Xenopus tropicalis: one gene and its partners. The main gene of each other region encodes a partner of the protein of the gene in region 3 in a complex. Links are inferred from orthologs where the notes say so. Each region holds a gene or a part of one and is shown on either strand. Other genes may lie near its edges.

Region 1 (3,649 bases), on a different chromosome or scaffold from region 3:
TACTACAACTATGTTACATCAAGAACGATTTTGCATTTCATTGCACTTTAAAATAATATCACAAAAAGGTTTTTCAGTTTGAGATTAGTTAATTAGCGAATTGCTATATAAACCTGCTTTAAAGAGGTCATGGCTGTAAACATAAATCAGTTGCATAGATGCAGTTCTTTTTTTTTTTTTTTTTACTAAGCTTGACATCAGTTTTGGGACTGATTGGTAACATTGAATCAATTTCTACTTAATTGGTGTACAGTTTTTCTCACTGCATTTTTACGGCACACACCAGTCTTCGGCGCTGTTCCTAAGCATGAAATAGCTTCTGAATCTGGATTTGACTGTATTTAGATTTCTGGGTACTTTGGGATCCATCTAATCTGATTTCAGTCCTTTAATTCTATGCATCCTGCTGAGTGTGCAAATTGTAGGTTCTAATACATTATTTAATATGTACATGTTTAAAAAGAAGGCTCACTTTTCTAAGATATCACATGTGTAAATATGGCCAAAACATAAAAAAAGATCAAACGGTATATTAACTCTGATCTCCATGTTGCCAGAACAGGTGTTCTTTTTATCTATAGCATATGATTTTATGAATTACAAGGCATATTTCAAATCTATTTCGAATCATCATTTGGTTTTCCTCTGTTTTAAGTATTAGCTTCCGGGAACTGAAGACCATTCTTTCACAGGCCAACTTCAAAGCTAATAGCATGAGAGTGCTGAAGGACAAGTTAACGGTAAATGTGAAATGTACTTAACTATTTTGTTTTATTTTAGATGAATTGTGGTTATAAAAAAAAAATCTTATTTTTCCACAGGAGATTGGCATTCAAAGGGATGATATTAGTTTTGAACATTTTCACGTATTCTACAAAAAGCTCATGTTTGAACAGCAGAAGATGGTAAGTTCATATTGCATTTCATGCTCTCCTGAGTATTGTGGATGCTTCGTTATTTTCTCTATATTCTGTGGCTTATTACCAGTTTGCAAGGGGAATATTTCAGTTATTACCTATATTCAAAAGGAGTATTTTGGGTTTTTACTTGTTTTCTTGTTTTGTTTTTAACATGTTATAAGGTTAAACCTTTAACAGCAATTACTGGTGTTATTTATGATTACTGGTCTTAAACACAAGCTCCATAACTTTCTTTTCAATGTAAGTTCTCTTCTCCCCTCAGATACTGGATGAATTTCGGAAGGATTCTTCAGTGTTTATTTTGGGGTAAGGTTTGCTGCTTCACCTTCCTCTTTGGCATTGAGGGTGCACTATTTGGAATTGATTTCTAGTGAATATCTTCAAATGTGGCATTTCCAGGAAAAAGGGAACTTCTACATGATTTGATTTGCAGTTTATATGTATCTACTTTTGTCAGAGTTTCCATGTAATTTTTTCTGCTTACCATGGAAGCCAAAGTGGCATGACAAATGGTTGCACACCCAAAATCATTCTAATGTAAACAATGACATGCAAAGGAGCAACTATTCCTACATTAGCACTACCTGCAAATACCATAGAACTTAGAATTGTAGATTCACACTAAAAGGGTTAAAGTGAAGAGTAACTTTATTATGTCAGAAATAGTAAAGAATTATTACGTATATATATTGATATATACGTTTTTTGCCATGTGATATGTCTTATATTACATTTTTTTTTATGATAGTTAAAATTTTAAGCTCCTTAGCTAGCAGCAGTTTTAGTGGGTTGGGGCAGAAGAAAATGCAAGAAAGATAAAAAAAAAAAATCATCATCATTATAAAGCCTTAACTTGTAACTAACTGGTTCTCACATGGGGGCCTAAATTTATTTACATAAAAACATGTATAAAGAGATACACTTGTCATTGTCATCTCCATTGCCTTCTGACAAATGTCTGTGACATTTATTTAGGCTGTGTGCAAATACAGCTGTAAGCAAATGACGCCACATGTTAAAAGAAATGCCTTGTATGCTTTTATATGTCTCTATTGCCACTTCTAATTGGGTGTTTTTTGTTATAGAAATGTTGACCGCCCAGATGGGTCAGCTGTCCACCTGCATGATTTTCAAAGGTTTCTAGTGCATGAGCAACAGGTGAGAGTAGACAGCAGTGTTAGAAATACTGTTTGATGTGTTCACAAAGTGAAACTAAGGGGCTGATTTACTAAGACACGATTTCGAATCCGAATTGGAAAAATTCCGATTGGAAACTAACATTTTGCGACTTTTTCGTTTTTTTTGCGATTTTTTCGGCGTCTTTACGATTTTTGCGAAAAAACGCGAGTTTTTCGTAGCCATTACGAAAGTTGCACAAAGTCGCGATTTTTTTGTAGCGTTAAAACTTAAAAGGCGCGACTTTGCGCGCAAGTTTTAACGCTATGAAAAAATCGCGACTTTGCGCAACTTTCGTAATGGCTACGAAAAACTCGCGTTTTTGCGCAAAAATCGTAAAGACGCCGAAAAAAACGCAAAAATACGAAAAAATCGCAAAATACCGATCATTACGAAAAAAACGCAATCGGACGCATTCGGCCCGTTCGTGGGTTAGTAAATGTGCCCCTTAGGGGCTGATTTACTAACCCACGAATCCGACCCGAATTGGAAAAGTTCCGACTTGAAAACGAACATTTTGCGACTTTTTCGTATTTGTTGCGATTTTTTCGGCTTCTTTACGAATTTTTCGTTACCAATACGATTTTTGCGTAAAAAAGTTTTTCGTAGCCATTACGAAAGTTGCGTAAAAAGTTGCGCTTTTTTCGTAGCGTTAAAACTTACGCGAAAAGTTGCGCCTTTTTCGTAGCGTTAAAACTTAAAAGGTGCAAAGTTTCGCGTAAGTTTTAACGCTACGAAAAAAGCGCAACTTTTTGCGCAAGTTTTAACGCTACGAAAAATCGCCAGATTTTACGCAACTTTCGTAATGGCTACGAAAAACTCGCGTTTTTACTCAAAAATTGTATTGGTAACGAAAAATTCGTAAAGAAGCCGAAAAAATCGCAAAAAATACGAAAAAATCGCAAAATACCGATCATTACGAAAAAACGCAATCGGACTCATTTCGACCCGTTCGTGGGTTAGTAAATCGGCCCCTAAGTGTCATCCTTTATCTTACATTGTTATATTGTCCCTGCCAGTAAAAAGGTGTTTCTGTTGTGTGTTGAAGATCATTTCCACTGCTGACCCACTGATGTTGTTAATGTGTATTATGGTTTATTATGCCATTTTGCATAGGGAAATTGGATGCCTTTACTATAGGATGAGCTAATTTAGCTCTATTTGCATGGCATTACATTTGTTTGTTGCTTCCTTTCTAACTTCTCCCCTTGTTACTAATGATCCAAAAGTAAAACTTATAAATCCCTTAATATTTGAGATACATTTCTGTATTGCTTCGATATTCTAGTGATATTTGATTCGGCATCAACATTCTTTGTATTTTTTTATATTTACTGGCAACACAACTAGCAGTGATCTTTATTGTTCCTTTTCTTGTAGTAATGATAGACTCCATTTCTTATAAATTAAAACACTGGCAAATGTTTCCCTAACTTTGTGTGCAATGGCAACCAATCAGCACACAGCTTTTGCTGGTCTGCTGAAGTTTGAACTCAGAATGCAAACTTTTATTGGTGTCTGTATGAGACAGACAGATGGTTGTAACAGAGCTG
Region 2 (4,403 bases), about 72 Mb from region 3:
TTGATGTAACCTGCTTCGTGTCGTGACAATGCTTTACATAATGATGTTTTTATGACTAACCCTGTGCTATGTATACTTTATTATCTGGTAGTTGATTCTATCTGTACTTGATATAGTTAACTTTTCAAATTTAAAGAGTGAGTGATGTGTCACACACGGATTGGTTTAACTAATTGGGGTGAGATCTGTATTATGTATATATATGTGTAACCCGTTTTTAACCTTTGGAGCCTATGACTAAGTGCTGGGTAAGCATGAAATGCGTTAGGCAATATACAGTAAATGGGGTTTGAATAATTTTTAAATGTGTAATAAAAGAAAGATTTTTTAATTTCGATATTGGTGCATCCACATTCTGTTCATTCCTATGGGATCTTTTGAAGTGTATTTATCAATGGGTGAAAGTTAGAACCCACCATTTGATAAATATGCTTCTAAAATCCCATAGGAATGAATAGGATGTGGGTGAGTTTCTATGTATTAATTTATATGGGCTCATTTATCAATGTATGAATTTAGATTGTTTGAAAGTACGATTCGCGAAAATTCTTATAGTTAACGATAATTTCTGATGTGCGGCAATGTTACAAACGTTACGATCTGAAAATATTGTGGTACAATCCAAAAGTTATGAAATTTTTGTATCCGATCGTAAACGACGGATGGACTTTGATCCTTCTGTGCATGATTTTGGAAGCCTCCCATAGGACTCAATGGCAGCTCCAACCTGGCCCAAGGAAAGTCACAATACCGAAGCTTGAATGAATTACGAAACTTTCATACTTGTTGCGACAAGTACGATTTTGTGCCACTAATTGTGGCAAGGTATGAAAAAAGTCGTGCAAATTAACAAAAATATTGTAGAAAATATGCAAAAGTTCTAAACTTTAGAAAAAATACTAATCTTTAGTAATCAGACCCGTTGTACTTTAATGAATGTGCCCCCTAAACTCACATATTGATAAATCTGCCCTATAGTGTGTGTGTGTATGTATGTGTGTGTGTGTGTGTGTATGTATGTATGTATGTATGTATGTATATATATATATATATATATATATACACACTGCTGCTTTAGGTGAAAAGGGAAACTGTCAACTTCAATGTTAGGAAAAGGGTCAGCGATAAAAAGTAGAGATGAAATAAAAAGAACTTTATCTCTGCTATTGTCTGATTCCAACTGAAGAAGTGTTTGGAAAGTAAACACTTTTGTCTTAATAAAGACGCGAAATGTTTATGGGGCGAATGATAGGCAGCTTTCTTCACCGTTTGATAGATATACCCCTAACTTGAGCTTCAAACACCGCCATAGTAACCCTGCACTGTAGCTCACCCTCACCGCTCTGCTGACGTCAACTTAAAAAAAAAAAAAGCTCTTTTAAGGCGCGCCCCCGCTGTCTCACAAAAGTCCTGTGCGCGCTCCTTTGGCCGCGTGACCCGGAAGCAGTAGTCCCGGGGGAAGCTGCGCACAACCAGAAGCCTCGGCCCAGCTGGCGGCCTGGAGCCCGGGGTCTGAGTGCAACCCGGGACCGAGCGAAGCCCTGCCGGAACGACATAGAAAGCCGTGAGTAACTTTATTGAAGCGAAAGAATTGTTTGCTATTCTCTCAGCCTTTACTGCACGGCTCATTCGCGGCCACGGAACTCCCACTAAAGATCCACATCATCTACATCTGATCCGCTTATCTGTAAAGCACGGCGGTTTGGGATCGCCAGGTTTGCCCAGCACCCTGATGTGATCGTTGTTCGTGGGAGTGGGGTGTCCGTGTGTGGATGTGTGGCGTTTGTAAGTTCATCTTTACACCGAAAGCATTGTTTTTATACCGTGACAAACCACCTTTTCATATGGAGTTTTGGCGTACGGCTCTCCGGCAGCTTTATTTCGCATCACGTCCAGTCTCTGCATTTATTTCAGAGGGGTTGTCGGGATGTGTAGTTTGTTGCGCTGGAGAGGAGCGAATTTAAGATCACTAGTACCGCCGTGCGCCGAATGCTTCACTCAAGCAGTGTTGTTGTAAGGCAGAGCACTTTCTCCTGGTGGCAAATCACTGTTACCTTGTAATAAGGCATTTTATAGTCGGCATATAGTCACTTTTGGGGTGGCTATCCTTTCAGCGGTAGTTAGATGCAGCACCCAACTTTCTCTGAGAGTTGGATGTGTCTGAAGAACCTGAAGTTTGTTGGCCCTTACTGTCATGCTACAAGGTGCTAACTTTCTTTCAGACAAAGGGGGATCTGCAGCCCCTTGAACCCCTTTTTACATAATGAAAGGAAATGTAATCTTTTCGAATACCCAATTAATGCTTGTTCAGTTGTTCTACAGTTATTTATAAATATAATTGAAGCCAGTATTCCTTTCACTTCTGTTTCAGAATCCCAGGAACAGTGTAGCAGAAGGCAGTTCTCCTTCTGTTAATCAGCTGTCTTATGTTATATTGTTTTAGCAATGAGAGACAGTAGAGAGACAGAGCAGAGAATGTAAACATACTTTGTTCTCAGTACCAATTTTATATACATATAAGTAACCTTAAAAAACTGAATTTTAATTGATTTATATGGGAAAGTTGCTTGAAATTGAATGTTTTTAAATTCTGGTCAGAGAACCTTTTTTTTTTTTTTAGAAACTATTTTAAAATATGATATTCATTACCTATATATGTTCAAAAGCAAAATATGGACAAACAGCTTATTGTGTCTGAAATACCTTTATGGCAAATACACAGTATGACTATCATCTTTTAATGGTAATTCTTAATTATAATAATTGTAATGTATATTTAATATGCACAACAAATGAAAAATACATAAATGTTAGGTAATTATTTTATTGCATGGTGTAGGCTGCCTGGGACATGTTTTCATAATGTTAGTTTTAAACAACTAATCCAAAACTTCATTCGCCCCACTTCCTTCTAAATTCCAACATCACTGCCCTCCTCCTAGACCAAGGGCTATCACATCATAGTCTTAAAGGTGGCCATCCATGGGCAGGTTGTAGTTGCCAGTTCAGCCCCTTGAGACTGAGTCGGCATCTTATCTGCCTGCGTGTGTGTAATCTCAGTATAGCAACATGAAACCTGCACTTTAATTAAAACACAAGTAGCACTTACAAAAACTAATTTTTATCGAAAAATTATTTTAATTTATTTCATATATAATTTAGTCAATATAGAACAGTGTTCTTTTAAGTTCATGCCACCCAGCAATAGTGCAAAATAAGCATATAGGAAAGCAGGTAACAAGCCAGTTAGAATCACCCCGATGTTTAGGCAATAAGCTGTTATCAAGGGGAATTCTGAAAGGCTTGTTGCTGAAAAGTCTGGGTCTCCTGGTTATGTCTTTCTGTATTCTCGTTTTGCAGTATTGCTGGGTGGTATTTACTTAGTTTTGTCCGACATAATGTTTAATATGAATGATTTTGTGGGCACTAGTTGACAAAATTATGTATAAAATAATTTTTCTAAAAAAGACCTGTTTTTTGCAAGTACAAGTTATATTTTATTTAGGACTGTGTTTTATTTAGGACGAGTGGTTGGGTCTGTGAAGAAACGCAAGCATTCTTCCTTATGGGGCTTTACTCACAAAGGCGCGTGTAAACTCGGAACTGAGGTGGAATGCAGAATTCTGCGCAAAACTCGTCAGTACAATCCCTTAGCGTGCAGGATTCTTATAGCTATATTTTCTTGATCTAGTGCCTTTTTATATGTGAGGGAGGCCTTAATTATCCTTGTACCTGTTATCTATTCGTATTATGTTTAGGGTAATGCGTCACGGGGTGATCCTTCGCAAGCTGATAAACACTTGCTGAGAATCAGCCCCTCTGCTCTAAAAATCTTTAAGTTTTGCCTGCACCCAGAAGCATTTAATCCACCGGGGGCAGGCACACACAGTGTATTTCTGTCTGAAACTGCTCAAGTATGCAGTTTGAGGCAGAAATATGCTGCGTGTGCCTGCACCCAGGGCGGATTCAATGCTTAAGGGACAAGGAAAGGCTAAGTCACTTGGGGGTGCCAAAATGTTAGGCACCCCCAAGTGACTTTAATAGCTTACCTTGTACCCCGGGCTGGTGCCCCTGTTAGGAGAAAACAGTACCAGCCTGGGGTACCTGCGAGCGAACAGGAAGGAGGAAGCGCTGCAGCTACCCCGGGCTGGTGCTGTTCTCTCCGAACAGGGGCACCAGCCCGGGGTAGAAGGTAGGCGATTTAAGTCACTTGGGGGTGCCTAACATTTTGGCACCCCCAAGTGACTTTGCCTTTCCTTCTCCTTTAAAGATTTTGAGAGCAGAGGGGCTGATTCTTGGCAAGTGTTTTTCTAGTTATGGAGGTAGTTCAGAGTTAAAATCTTGCTGGCGGCATGGCTGCTGACTTTGTGAATATATAAATAAATCCTATGCTGAATTATTAA
Region 3 (3,649 bases):
TTCTGGAGGTCAACTTATAAGTGAATATAACACAATAGGAGAGCTGGGGGAAGGAAGACGAGGGAGATTGGTAAAAGCACAAAAGAAAGTGGCGTTGGGCATTGTCTGCCATAGACAATTCAGTTCTCTTTCATATGATAGCACTTGGTTCCTGGTTCTCCCTGAGAAGGGGCTGATAATGCTAGCTAGTAAGACCCTAAAAACTTGAGAACATTTATAACGTCAGTGCCAGAATGGTTGACGCATCTTAGCATTTCAGCTGACGAGGTTGCACCGGGTTATGGGTTCCTCTTGCATGCCAGCAGGACCTTTGAAGTGGAACTGCCTTTTTTGTCGGCCCAGCATGCTGTGGTGTCTCTTGTTTGAAAGGACTCTCATTAATCACTCCTCCTGCTGATCGCTCTGCAGCTCGTTAGAGGGATTCACAGGCTAAATGTAATCACCATCGAGAGAGTGTTTGAAGCTGTTGCTGAGTGTGACTTTTCATCAGACTATTGACCAACCTTATATATTTATCATTCTATGGATTGGAAACTGTGCCATCAACATGCTGTATATTGGCAGTGGTGGTGGACTTGCCCAGATCCCTTTACACTGTTAGGGATCTGGGCAAGTCCTTTGTGATGTTTATGTTTGAGATTGCCACCTTCCCCAATTAATAAGTGGGGTTCCAAAGATGCAAACAGAGAAGAGGGGCAACCACGCCAGGGCAAAAAAGCTGGGTTTTTAGCTTGAAGGGAACGTGTAGGATTTAAGATGGCAGTGCCTAAAATAAAGATTAATACTATCAACTATTTAACACTTCTAGGTTCGTTCTCAAACATGGAGCCTTATTATGGATTCCGTTGTCCCATCTGATAAAGGCAATTACACTTGTATTGTGGAGAACAAGTATGGCACCCTCAACCACACCTACCAGTTGGATGTAGTCGGTAAGTGCTGTACTTTGTTTGTGGCATGGAGGAGCCCTTCTGCCTCTCATTCATTCTCGCTCTATTTCCATTGATGCTTGCCTTGCTGGCTGGCTGCTATTCTTAGTTATGGGGTTGTGGTTAAGTGACCAGCACAATCTAGTTCTAATGCATATGGCAGTGGTTCCCAAAAGCCTTGGTTGGATGGGCCCAGCCTGAAGGCCATAGGAGTTGGATAGTGTGCACGCAAGTTATTTTAGTGAGGTGAGATCCACAGGAGGCAACCCATTAAGTGACTCCACTCCAATGTAAAGGCCTTTTTCATACTTTTTTTCCCCTGATGAAGATCCTCCATGAGTCAAAACATGTAGGGTTTCCTTTTATTTATAGTGTAATTTTTTTTTTTTTTTTTTAATCTGGAACAGATTTGGGGATATGCCCATTTACTTTCCTAGGTTCTGCTGGAAGCCCATCTTCAAGGTTAATTATAGTAAGATTTGGAGTGAACACTTCTTTAGTATCTTAGATATCCATGGAACTATGGCTGAATGGGAAATTTTGTAATGGTTTTTGTATGTTTGCAACCTTGTTTTGAGCTAAGGAGGGTGCTCTGGGCAAATGTTGGGTCTCAAAAGGGTGCTCGTTCGAATATATCTAAAAGCCACAGGCATTTGGGCTTGGGGGGGGAGGATATCAATTGCTCAGTCCTTCATGGTCACAGAGTTGTAGCGTTAGGGACCCTGGAAAAAATTGTTTTTTAAGTCTATAGTATTTAATTTTTCGCTGGGATTTGTAGACCAGTTTGAAGACGACAGTCTAAAAAAATAATGCGTACCTTAAATACAAGTATTAATCAAGGTTTTGTGCGAATAATTGACTCTGCATTGCTCGGCCTCCTGGTTGAATTTGCGATAGAAATCACCCACGGGCCTGGAGCCGAGGCTTTTTTTGTTGGCGCTTGGGGATCAGAACAAAAAGTCCTTGGAGTTTTTATGTCGAAACTAATTGAAGAGCGATGGCAGGCGCAGGCTAAAGTGAAGGAAAGGAAAAAAACAAAACAAGCCCTTCTTTGCCCAATATCTAGCAGATCGTGAAATTATCCTCCATTTCCTCAAATGAGTAGCCAATTCTCCTCTCAAATATTTCCTCCACGAACATCCGCCTTTAATTATCCTACATATTTTCCTTTCTTTGACTCCCCCCCACCCCCAGCCTGCCATTTCCACCTCACAGAACCTATTAAATTTCAAATATTTCCTGTACAGGGGGCACCGTGGGGCCTGCATTAAGGTGCTGAGTTTATTTATTCTGTCTCCTTGCTTTTCTTCCCCGCTCCTCTCATTACATTCTCGACTGACTTGAAGAATCAAGGCGGCGTACTGATAGTCTGTTATTCCTGGAGACGTAATAAACGTACATAGAGCCTACTCTATACACCACCATTGCATCATCTGTTTCCCGGGATCTGGGATTCATTTCCAGCGCTGGGCCTTTCTTAATTCTAACAATAATATTGGTTGTTTAGCCTAGAATCTCTAGGTAATTGTAACCTTACTGCTGCCTGGGCCATTTTAAGGATAGAATTGTTTTCCCCCCTCTTTACTGTAAAGCCTATGAAAAGCAAATTAAATCAATGGCGAAAGCCAACACCCTGTCCCCCTTCATTTACCAGCCAACTGTTTTTGTGCACCAAGAGTATTTCACTTCTTATTCCGATATAGTAAATAAAACTGCTGCCAATTATTTAGAAGCTGTGTTGACTCCAGGATGTGTATGGTGGGGGCTAAGGAAAATCTGATTTCCCCAAAGTTGCTTGAATAAATAAATAAGACCCTTTCTACATGGGTTTTTATGGAAACCTTCATCATTCATGTGTCTGTTGAAGTAATGAGGTAGCAGAGGAGACATTCTGCTCTGTGATTGGCTGACAAAACAAGTTTTTTCTATATCCAATGCTTTGATTGGCTAAAATCTGTCTTCTGCAGGAATGGAAACAACAAATATTTTGCTCTGAGATATAGCTTTATATTGAAATGTCGTTTTATATTTTTTATAATTTTAGAATACTTCAAAGGCCCCTCTTCGAGACTGGGGTCCAGGACAAATTCCCTGTCTATTCTGTGCTAATAAAAGCTCTGTGTTGTGTTTTATAGATAGGCAAAATGTTATTTTGGTTATGAATAGGATTCCAAAATTCTGTTCTATCGGTGCCCGAACTGCAGAAACTGGTATCATTCCATCTACATGCAGGGTTCAATCCCAGATGCCAAATAATAAACATTGTTGATTTTAGTTCTCCATCTCCACGCTTTGATAAGTGCTACAGTAAATGTAATATTGTTATAGTGGTGCTCCATCTGTAAATAGTGCTGAATTAGTGCTACGTTTACCAATATTTGTTGAGAAAGTGCTCCAGCTACATTGACCTTTGGAAACAACCATTTCCTTCGCAGAACGTTCGCCACATCGCCCAATCCTACAGGCCGGTCTCCCAGCGAATACGAGTGTTATTGTGGGAAGCACTGCTGAATTTTTCTGCAAAGTGTACAGCGACCCCCAGCCTCACATCCAATGGCTCAGGCACATTGAAATTAATGGCAGCAGAGTGGCCTCGGATGGCTTCCCGTATGTGGAAATCCTCAAGGTAAATACATCTGTTGTCCTATGTGCCATGTGTTGTTTGGCTCCCTGCAAGGCGAGACACTCCTTCTGTTACAGTTACGCTTATTTTCCCTTCC

What was found.
Region 1: the proteins of fgfr1 (region 3) and plcg2 are in contact, whole or in part, in a cryo-EM structure (PDB 8JQI), measured with the Homo sapiens proteins. The link is inferred for Xenopus tropicalis from reciprocal best matches to the Homo sapiens genes FGFR1 and PLCG2. Residues at the interface, in NP_075598.2 of Homo sapiens: Lys504, Asn506, His541, Lys542, Lys598, Ser602, Tyr605, Gln606, Arg609, Glu612, Tyr613, Ser616, Lys617, Lys748, Asp755, Arg756, Val758, Ser762, Gln764, Glu765, Tyr766, Leu767, Asp768, Leu769; in NP_001412678.1 of Homo sapiens: Phe528, Arg540, Thr568, Phe569, Pro570, Asn571, Phe577, His585, Cys586, Arg587, Arg589, Ser590, Thr591, Met592, Gly595, Leu601, Thr602, Asn604, Leu622, Arg623, Cys624, Ala625, Glu626, Phe627, Glu738.
Region 2: the proteins of fgfr1 (region 3) and frs2 are in contact, whole or in part, in an NMR structure (PDB 1XR0), measured with the Homo sapiens proteins. The link is inferred for Xenopus tropicalis from reciprocal best matches to the Homo sapiens genes FGFR1 and FRS2. Residues at the interface, in NP_075598.2 of Homo sapiens: His409, Ser410, Gln411, Met412, Ala413, Val414, His415, Lys416, Leu417, Ala418, Lys419, Ser420, Ile421, Pro422, Leu423, Arg424, Arg425, Gln426, Val427, Thr428, Val429, Ser430; in NP_001036020.1 of Homo sapiens: Asn25, Val26, Asp27, Asp28, Leu33, Leu47, Thr49, Arg50, Asp53, Ser54, Val55, Trp57, Leu60, Cys61, Leu62, Arg63, Arg64, Tyr65, Gly66, Tyr67, Asp68, Ser69, Leu71, Ser73, Phe74, Gln81, Thr82, Ile86, Phe87, Ala88.

What each region holds. Positions count from the first base shown.
Region 1 is NC_030680.2:64,101,103-64,104,751, reverse strand, and holds part of plcg2 (1-phosphatidylinositol 4,5-bisphosphate phosphodiesterase gamma-2), read left to right. Parts: intron 1-655; coding exon 656-740; intron 741-821; coding exon 822-905; intron 906-1,182; coding exon 1,183-1,226; intron 1,227-2,005; coding exon 2,006-2,078; intron 2,079-3,649. UniProt on the Homo sapiens protein: The production of the second messenger molecules diacylglycerol (DAG) and inositol 1,4,5-trisphosphate (IP3) is mediated by activated phosphatidylinositol-specific phospholipase C enzymes. It is a crucial enzyme in transmembrane signaling.
Region 2 is NC_030679.2:59,065,625-59,070,027, forward strand, and holds the start of frs2 (fibroblast growth factor receptor substrate 2), read left to right. Parts: upstream 1-1,520; 5' UTR 1,521-1,564; intron 1,565-1,600; exon of another isoform or gene 1,601-1,785; intron 1,786-4,403. UniProt on the Homo sapiens protein: Adapter protein that links activated FGR and NGF receptors to downstream signaling pathways.
Region 3 is NC_030679.2:130,973,658-130,977,306, forward strand, and holds part of fgfr1 (fibroblast growth factor receptor 1 precursor), read left to right. Parts: intron 1-808; coding exon 809-932; intron 933-3,364; coding exon 3,365-3,555; intron 3,556-3,649. UniProt on the Homo sapiens protein: Tyrosine-protein kinase that acts as a cell-surface receptor for fibroblast growth factors and plays an essential role in the regulation of embryonic development, cell proliferation, differentiation and migration.